Macaca fascicularis: one gene and its partner. The protein of the gene in region 1 binds, or shares a complex with, the protein of each later gene. Links are inferred from orthologs where the notes say so. Each region holds a gene or a part of one and is shown on either strand. Other genes may lie near its edges.

What was found. The genes of interacting proteins can lie anywhere in the genome.
Region 2: the proteins of RNH1 (region 1) and RNASE1 are in contact, whole or in part, in a crystal structure (PDB 3TSR), measured with the Mus musculus proteins. The link is inferred for Macaca fascicularis from reciprocal best matches to the Homo sapiens genes RNH1 and RNASE1. Residues at the interface, in NP_001165571.1 of Mus musculus: Cys7, Asp32, Thr60, Asn89, Asp117, Glu145, Tyr146, Asn174, Glu202, Trp257, Trp259, Glu283, Ser285, Trp314, Lys316, Glu340, Glu397, Ser401, Asn402, Gln426, Val428, Tyr430, Asp431, Ile432, Tyr433, Trp434, Thr435, Asn436, Glu437, Arg443; in NP_035401.2 of Mus musculus: Arg26, Glu27, Lys32, Gln36, Pro48, Thr49, Gln53, Lys56, Arg57, Met60, Asn62, Gly63, Ser64, Cys65, Lys66, Pro67, Val68, Asn92, Lys94, Asn96, Leu111, Lys112, Gly113, Asn114, Ser115, Lys116, Asp121, Ala134, Glu136, Val143.

What each region holds. Positions count from the first base shown.
Region 1 is NC_088388.1:396,456-400,099, forward strand, and holds part of RNH1 (ribonuclease inhibitor), read right to left. Parts: intron 2,955-3,644; coding exon 2,784-2,954; intron 2,308-2,783; coding exon 2,137-2,307; intron 1,534-2,136; coding exon 1,363-1,533; intron 1,285-1,362; coding exon 1,114-1,284; intron 976-1,113; coding exon 805-975; intron 492-804; coding exon 321-491; exon of another isoform or gene 1-320. UniProt on the Homo sapiens protein: Ribonuclease inhibitor which inhibits RNASE1, RNASE2 and angiogenin (ANG). May play a role in redox homeostasis. Required to inhibit the cytotoxic tRNA ribonuclease activity of ANG in the cytoplasm in absence of stress.
Region 2 is NC_088381.1:88,468,526-88,472,068, forward strand, and holds RNASE1 (ribonuclease pancreatic), read right to left. Parts: upstream 1,981-3,543; 5' UTR 1,933-1,980; intron 1,468-1,932; exon of another isoform or gene 1,385-1,467; intron 1,230-1,384; 5' UTR 1,205-1,229; coding exon 746-1,204; 3' UTR 502-745; downstream 1-501. UniProt on the Homo sapiens protein: Endonuclease that catalyzes the cleavage of RNA on the 3' side of pyrimidine nucleotides. Acts on single-stranded and double-stranded RNA.

The sequences.
Region 1 (3,644 bases):
GCTCACATTCATGGACACTCGTGCTCACACATGCTCACATGGACACTTGTGCTCTCTTGCCCATGTGCTCACAGACACCCATGCTCACACTCATGCTCACACACACGTGCTCACATACGCCTCACCCATGTGCACACTCATGCTCACACACTCGTGCTCACACCCACATGTGCTCACACACGGACACTTGCGCTCACTCTCACCCATGTGCTCGCACACACGGACACTCGTGCTCAGACACTTGTGCTCACTCGCCCATGTGCTCACACACGTGCACATGACCTCCCAAATATGTGTACTCGTGTCCCTCTCACACTCACCAGAGCACCCGCAGCACGGAGCCGGGCTGGCCCAAGCCCTTGCAGAGTTCCTGCACGCCCGCGTCCCCCAGCCTGTTGTTGCTTATCTGCAGCTCCAGGAGAAACTTATTCTGGGTCAGCACCGAGCTGAAGTGGGAGCAGCAGGCGGCTGTGAAGCTGCAGGACTTCACCCTGTGGACGGACAGGACTGAGGCCTGGCAGCGGACCAGGCTGGCCCACAATTGCAACTGGCCCTTCTCCTGAAAGCCCCACATGGACCTGAGCAAAAACATCTGAGAGCCTCCTGAGGTGTGGGCACCTGCACCTGGTCCTCAGCCCCAAGCACCGTTACTATCAAACCACAGGCTGCTCCCTGGCCCATGCATTCTGAACGCCAGAGCTGAGCCCAGCACCTCCACTGGAGTCGCTCACTCCTCCCCTGGTCTCCTTGGTGACCCTGGCCCTCTCTTGGGCGACAGGGCCCTGCCCCGACAGCCACACTCACCACAGTGACTCCAGCTGGCAGCCGGGCTCCAGCAGCGTCTCACACAGCAGCCGGGCACCCTCGTCCCCCAGCTCGTTGCCGGCCAGGCTGAGCTCCTTCAGGCTCTCCTTGGTCCTGAGGACACGGCACAGATCCGCGCAGCCCTTGGCGGTGATGCCACACTCCCAGATCCTGCAGGACATGGACCCCCCCAGACTTTCCTTAGCGCCATCTCATGGCCTGAGGCGCGCCCAGCGGGTGGGGGAGGGCTCTGAGGACGGCCCGCGGCCCCTGACCCTCCAGGAAGGAGGCCTCGGGGAGGTGACTCACCACAGGGTCCTGAGGCTGGAGCTGGGGTGGAGCAGCCCTGGGCACAGCTCTGCAATGCCCACATCACCCAGCTTGTTGCTGCCCAGGGCCAGCTCCCGCAGCGAGGCCTTGGAGGCCACGATGCTGCACAGGTCCCGGCAGTTGTTTGACGTGATACCACAGCTCTCCAGCCTGGGGATGCAGGTCACGCGTGAAGCAGCATGGGACCCCCGGCCCACACCCCGCACCTCCCCAAGGCCCAGGGCCTACTTGAGCGCCTCCAGCTGGCAGGGGGAATCCTTCAGGCCCTGGCACAGCACACGGACGCCGGCCTCATTGATGTCGTTGTTGCTAACCGTGAGCTCCTTGAAGTCCGGCTTGGCCCTGAGCACGGAGGCCAGGGGCTCGCAGCTGGCAGCCGAGAGGTTGCAATACTCAAGCCTGGGGGGTAGCCGAGCTTAGCACCACACAGGAATGTGCACCAGCCAAGGGTGTGATGCCAGGGAGTGCAGGGGGGTGCTGGTGTCTCATCTCTCCCTCAGCCTTCTCCTGCCTAGGCATCAGGTGGCAGTGCTGAGGGCCCCCCCAGACTCATCCAGAGGCCCAGGCCTCTGTGGACACCGGCATTCCTTCTGGAAACCCCTCACCCCCTCCCCGACCTCGGACCTCGGGGCCCAACCAGGCCCAGGACAAAGAAACCAGCCTCTGGAGGGCAGGGCCGCCTGCACGTGCCAGGCCGTGGTCAACTCACAGTGGCCGGGCCCCCCACACACACTGAAGTGGTGAGTGGAGCCGGACTCACGGCCAGGTCTGTTCCCACTGTCAGGTCCTGGGGCAGCTGTGCCTTGCAAAGGGCAACTGGAGGGGGAGGGAGGGTGACGACAGATCCCCCCAGTCCCAGCATCATGGAGAGGGGAGAGCACCACAAGGACCCTGTGACCTGAGTCCCTCCTCACGGCTCCTGGCAGGCGATGTGCTATATAGGGGGCTGGCTGGGGGACAGGCAGTGGAGAGCACAGGTCCCGGGGCAGGGGACACACTCACTGCAGCTTTTCCAGGCGGCACTGGGGGTCCAGGAGTCCCTCGCAGAGCAGCTGCAGGCCCGCATCCCCCAAGAGGTTGTCGCTGAGGTGCAGCTCCTGAAGCGTGGGCAGGGAGCGTAGCGTGCCGGACAGGACCCCGCAGCCGGCCCCCGTCAGGTAGCAGTTCTGGAGGCTGGAGCATACCTGGCCGTCAGCAGGGCTCCCCTGAGCCAAACTGCCACACCCTTCACCTGCCAGAGCCTGGAGCCCGGAGCGGCGCTCTGCAGGCGGTAGGTCTGTACTGCTCCTTCCCTGGACAGGGCTCTGGGGTCTCCAGGCCGAGTGAAAGAGGGCACACGTGTGGCTCGGCTCAGGGAAACCTTGTCTGCAGACACACCCTTCAGCAGGGGTCCTGTGGTGATGCTGGAAGGCCAGGGATGGCGGGCGGGCCCAGACCTTGGGCGCAGGGGCTGGGACAAGGCAGGAGGGGCCCTGTCCCCCCGCCGTGAGGCCACCAGGCCTGTGTGCCTCTGGCTGATGCTGGAAATGCCCGCTGCCACCGCCTGCCCACCCACAGCTGCCCACGAGCCCCTGGCAGCTTTGTCCCCTGCTGCCGGGCTACCAAAGCAGGCCGCACCAGGCCAGAGGCAGTGCCAGGCCCCACCTCACCTCAGCTTCTGGATCTTGCAGGAGGGGCTCTGCAGGCCCTGGAGCACGCAGTGCACGCCGGCATCACCCAGCTCATTGCTGCGCAGGCTGAGTTCTGTCAGTGCAGGGTTGACTCGGAGTGCCGAGCTGATGTCGCCGCACCGTGCCTCTGTGAGGCCACAGTCGTCCAGCCTGCAACCAGACCCCAGGGTCATGCGGGCCACGCTCAGGCTCCTCCACTACCCTACGCGCAGATTACAACCCATCAGCGGGCCCAGAAGACAGCACGGCAAGTCACACAGGACGTTGCAGAAATGAAACAAAAAAGAGGAGAACTGTTCTGTGAAAGTTTTAAGGCCGGGCGCGGTGGCTCAAGCCTGTAATCCCAGCACTTTGGGAGGCCGAGACGGGCGGATCACGAGGTCAGGAGATCGAAACCATCCTGGCTAACACGGTGAAACCCCGTCTCTATTAAGAAATACAAAAAACTAGCCGGGCGAGGTGGCGGGCGCCTGTAGTCCCAGCTACTCGGGAGGCTGAGGCCGGAGAATGGCGTGAACCCGGGAGGCGGAGCTTGCAGTGAGCTGAGATCCGGCCACTGCACTCCAGCCTGGGCGACAGAGCGAGACTCCGTCTCAAAAAAAAAAAAAAAAAAAGAAAGTTTTAAGATGCTTGCACGTATGCAGACGTGTGCCTGAGGCCTCACGTGCTCCTCGCCTCCAACCCTGAGGCACGAAGCACAAAAGCTCCTGGTCTGTCTCTAGGGAAAAAAATCAAACCTGTCTGAGGTGACACCTACGGGAACTGCCTGGAACAGGACGCAGCAGGTAGTTCAGACACCGGAGCAAATACACAGTGACACCAGCTTCTAACATGACAAAT
Region 2 (3,543 bases), on another chromosome or scaffold:
CTCCAAAGTCACTTCTAGCTCTAAAATGTAAGATTCTGACTTTCCAACTAAGAGGTGCCCATTTTTCTGATTTAGTAATAGCTTACTCAAAAAAAAAAAAAAAAAAAAGGAGAATGGAAATTTAGGATCATCATTTCATTGACTCCTCTTCCTCATCCTGAGGCTAAGCAGGGTCTTCCTGAGGTTGCACTCACCTTCCTTCTGTGCCACAGAATGACTGTATTTGAGCTTCACCCCTCTGTCAGTTCACCCTGCATGGCAGTGTCCCAGGCTGTTGCTCCCTTTTGTCTAGAACAGCCCACACTTAATAGTTTTAGGTTTGGCATCAAGGAATCTACAAGGAAAGGAATTTTCTCAAGCCACTAAAATCCAAGTCAGAAGGGAAAGCATTTAATTACTTCATTCACCGTTCTCCAAAGCGAATCAGATTTACAGTTCTTGCCCCTTGCTGGAAGCCAATGCCAGAAACAGTACCTAGACAGAACCGCTTCAGAAATCAAGTGCTTGCAACTGTGTTTTATTGAAAGAAAGAGTGGAGGGGTTAACATGGGGCCCACCTCACAACCCACTCTTCACCCCCAAAATCACGCAGGGGTGGGACTCAGGAAAAGGAAGCATGAGTGTGTTGACTAGGAGCCCTAACTGGAGTTACATCTTTCATAGCAGGGAAGGAAGAGGGAAGAGGGAAGAGGCAGCTGTGGAAAGGATGAGGCTGAGGGAGGTGGGGTATCTCGCTGCTCTGACCTTAGGTTGAGTCCTCCACAGAAGCATCGAAGTGGACTGGCACATGTGGGCTCCCTTCACAGGCCACAATGATGTGTCTCTCCTTCGGGCTGGTCCGGTATGCACAGTTGGGGTACCTGGAGCCGTTTGTCAGGCGGCAGTCTGTGATGTGCATGCTGGACTTGCTCTTGAAGCAGTTGGTCTGCCCGTTCTTGCAGGTGACCTTTTCCTGGAAGCAGACATTCTGGACATCTACCAGGGGCTCATGCACAAAGGTGTTCACTGGTTTGCACCGCCCGTGCGTCATACTCCGGCGCTTCATCATTTGGTTGCAGTAGGTGGAGTTGCTGCTGGGGGAACTGCCTGAGTCCATGTGCTGCCGCTGGAATTTCTTGGCCCGGGATTCCCTGCCCAGGCAGCCCAGCACCAGCAGCACCAGGACAAGCAGAGGGAGCAGGATGACAGACTTATCCAGAGCCATGGTGGCCTCACTTTCCCGGAAAAGCCTAATTGAGAAAAGGAGACAGAAGGAAAAGAGCCCTCTTAGAAAAAGAACTCCAGCTCCCACCTATGGCTTCCCTGGCTTACAGTTTCTGTCTCAGGTCAACCAGAAAGATGTCCGTCCCACTTCCTGAGGTTTTTTGTGTAATGAGACACTCACGTGTATCCTTCTCCACAAGCGTTTTATTGCCACTCTCCAAAGCGAGGTCTTTTTCCCGTTTAGGTGGTGACCTACGAAGTGACCTAAAATCCTGTCAGTTTCTATCTTTGAATACTGGTGTTTCTTTGATCCAAAATACATTTGTATCCAGTGCTCAAATGGCTCATCGAAACATCAGTTTGAATAAATCATGAACCAAATTGTATCCCCAACATCTAGGACCATGGGTGACAGAGTCTTGTTGTCTTACAGCATAAGGGAACTCAGGCCAGTGCCTGACACTGGCCTCATAAAGGATTCCGTTGTATTCCAAAGAGAAATGCTGGCTTCCCCCAACTTGAGGGCTCCTTCTTTTCCAGTTCCATGGATGCTCTGCAGCCTGCACGTTCCACCCCGACCCCTCTGCCTCCAGCTGATGTTTGCCTGGGCCACATTTTTTCAGCGCTAGCATCATCCAAGCTTTCTCAGTGCTGTGGACTGGCCCTAGCTTCTTCCTCTCCAACCCTGAAGCAGAAGCGGCACCTGAGAACACCTCTTGGACTGCTTACCTGGATCCGCAGCTTGGTGTCTGAGAGAGATGGAAGGCCAGTTTCTGCAGTCACTCAGCTCCTGGGGTATGGACCTTATACAGATTACAAAGGGGTTTGGCTTCCAAGAGGAAAAGGGTGGGAGGAGCATATCGAACTCAGTTGAAATAAAATCAAGGACGTGAGGAAGGAGTGGTGAATCACCCAGGCCACCATCTTTCCAGGGCTGCTGAAGAAAGAGCAAATCTTTGCCTACATTAGTCTTTCCTCCTATGTAAACCACATCTGTCTGCTGATGCACAAGGAGCAGCAGAGAAAGCCACTACAGCACTGGTGCCCAAACCTGACACACTAGGGACAAAGTCCTTGTTACTTCTTCGTGGGCCGTTTTCACCAAGTAGACTTGGAGGTTAACAAAGGACGCAAAAGGTGATCACGGGAAAGGGAGGCCCTCTCCTCAGGAGAGGTACTGATGGGAGATGTGGAATTCTGGCCAAGGCTATTCCAGGGCTCCTAGGGAGCAAAACCCAAGTCTCTTTTTAGGAGGGTATTCTCCCAACAGTACCTCTCCCGGGGGTGGAAGGTGGGGTCGAGGGGAATGGAGGCTGTCCTGCTGCCCCCAGCTGGAAGGCTTCCCAGATCTGGAGAAGAAACGGGGAGTAACTGAATAGGGAGGAGGAGGAAGCTTCTAGGGTGAGCTCACCCAGTTCTGGTCACTTCCCGCCCACCCTCCTCCCCCTGCTCTGGGGGCATCGAGAGGATGGAGCTGTTCTTATCTACTGATCAGAACCACTGGTAGGTGGGAATTGAGTAGAGAAACTGAAGATAAACTTAAATCCCAAATCTCAAATTCTTTTTGGGTAAAAAATACAAAGCATATCATATTTGTTAGCAGCAGAATGCACTCCTAGAAAGAGACCTGTCCTTTTGCTGAGTAACAATTTGGATACCTGTGGAGTAAGAATTATCAAAATATCCCTTCGTGCTCTGTATTCAGACTGTTTCAGCCTTTCTGTGTAAAAAGTGGCCATGGTGAAATTATCTGACCTACGTTGTGTGGTTGTAGGTCATAAGATCCTCATTCCAAAGAAGGTCCTGCCCCCCACACCCAGAAAAAAGAACGACTGCTCAGGGAGGCCAAGAAGAATCTAGACAGGGAGGCCTTGCTGGGTTTCCCCACTCAGTCTATTTTCATTAGATCTCACCCCTGTTGTCCAATCACATTTCTACACAGCTGTTCATACTTTGTTGATACCTAAGTGTAAAAATGCCCACTTTCCCCTCTATCTTTGGGTCTTCTGAAGGCCCCCGTGTTGTGTTAAGGAAGGAGACCACTACTACTCCTGCTGCCCTCCTCCCCCCACCTTGCCTAGTTCACAAGACAGGAAGAAACAGACAAAGAAACAAAAGAAAGATAAACAGCCAGACAACCTTGGCACCACCACCCGACCCTAGGAGTTAAAAAAAGTAATAATAATAACATCAACCCCTGACCTAAACTGCTTGTGTTATCTGTAAATTCCAGACACTGTATGAAAAAAGCATTGTAAAACTTTTTGTTCTGTTAGCTGATGCATGTAGCCCCCAGTCACGTTTCCCACGCTTGCTCAGTTTATCACGACCCTTTCACGT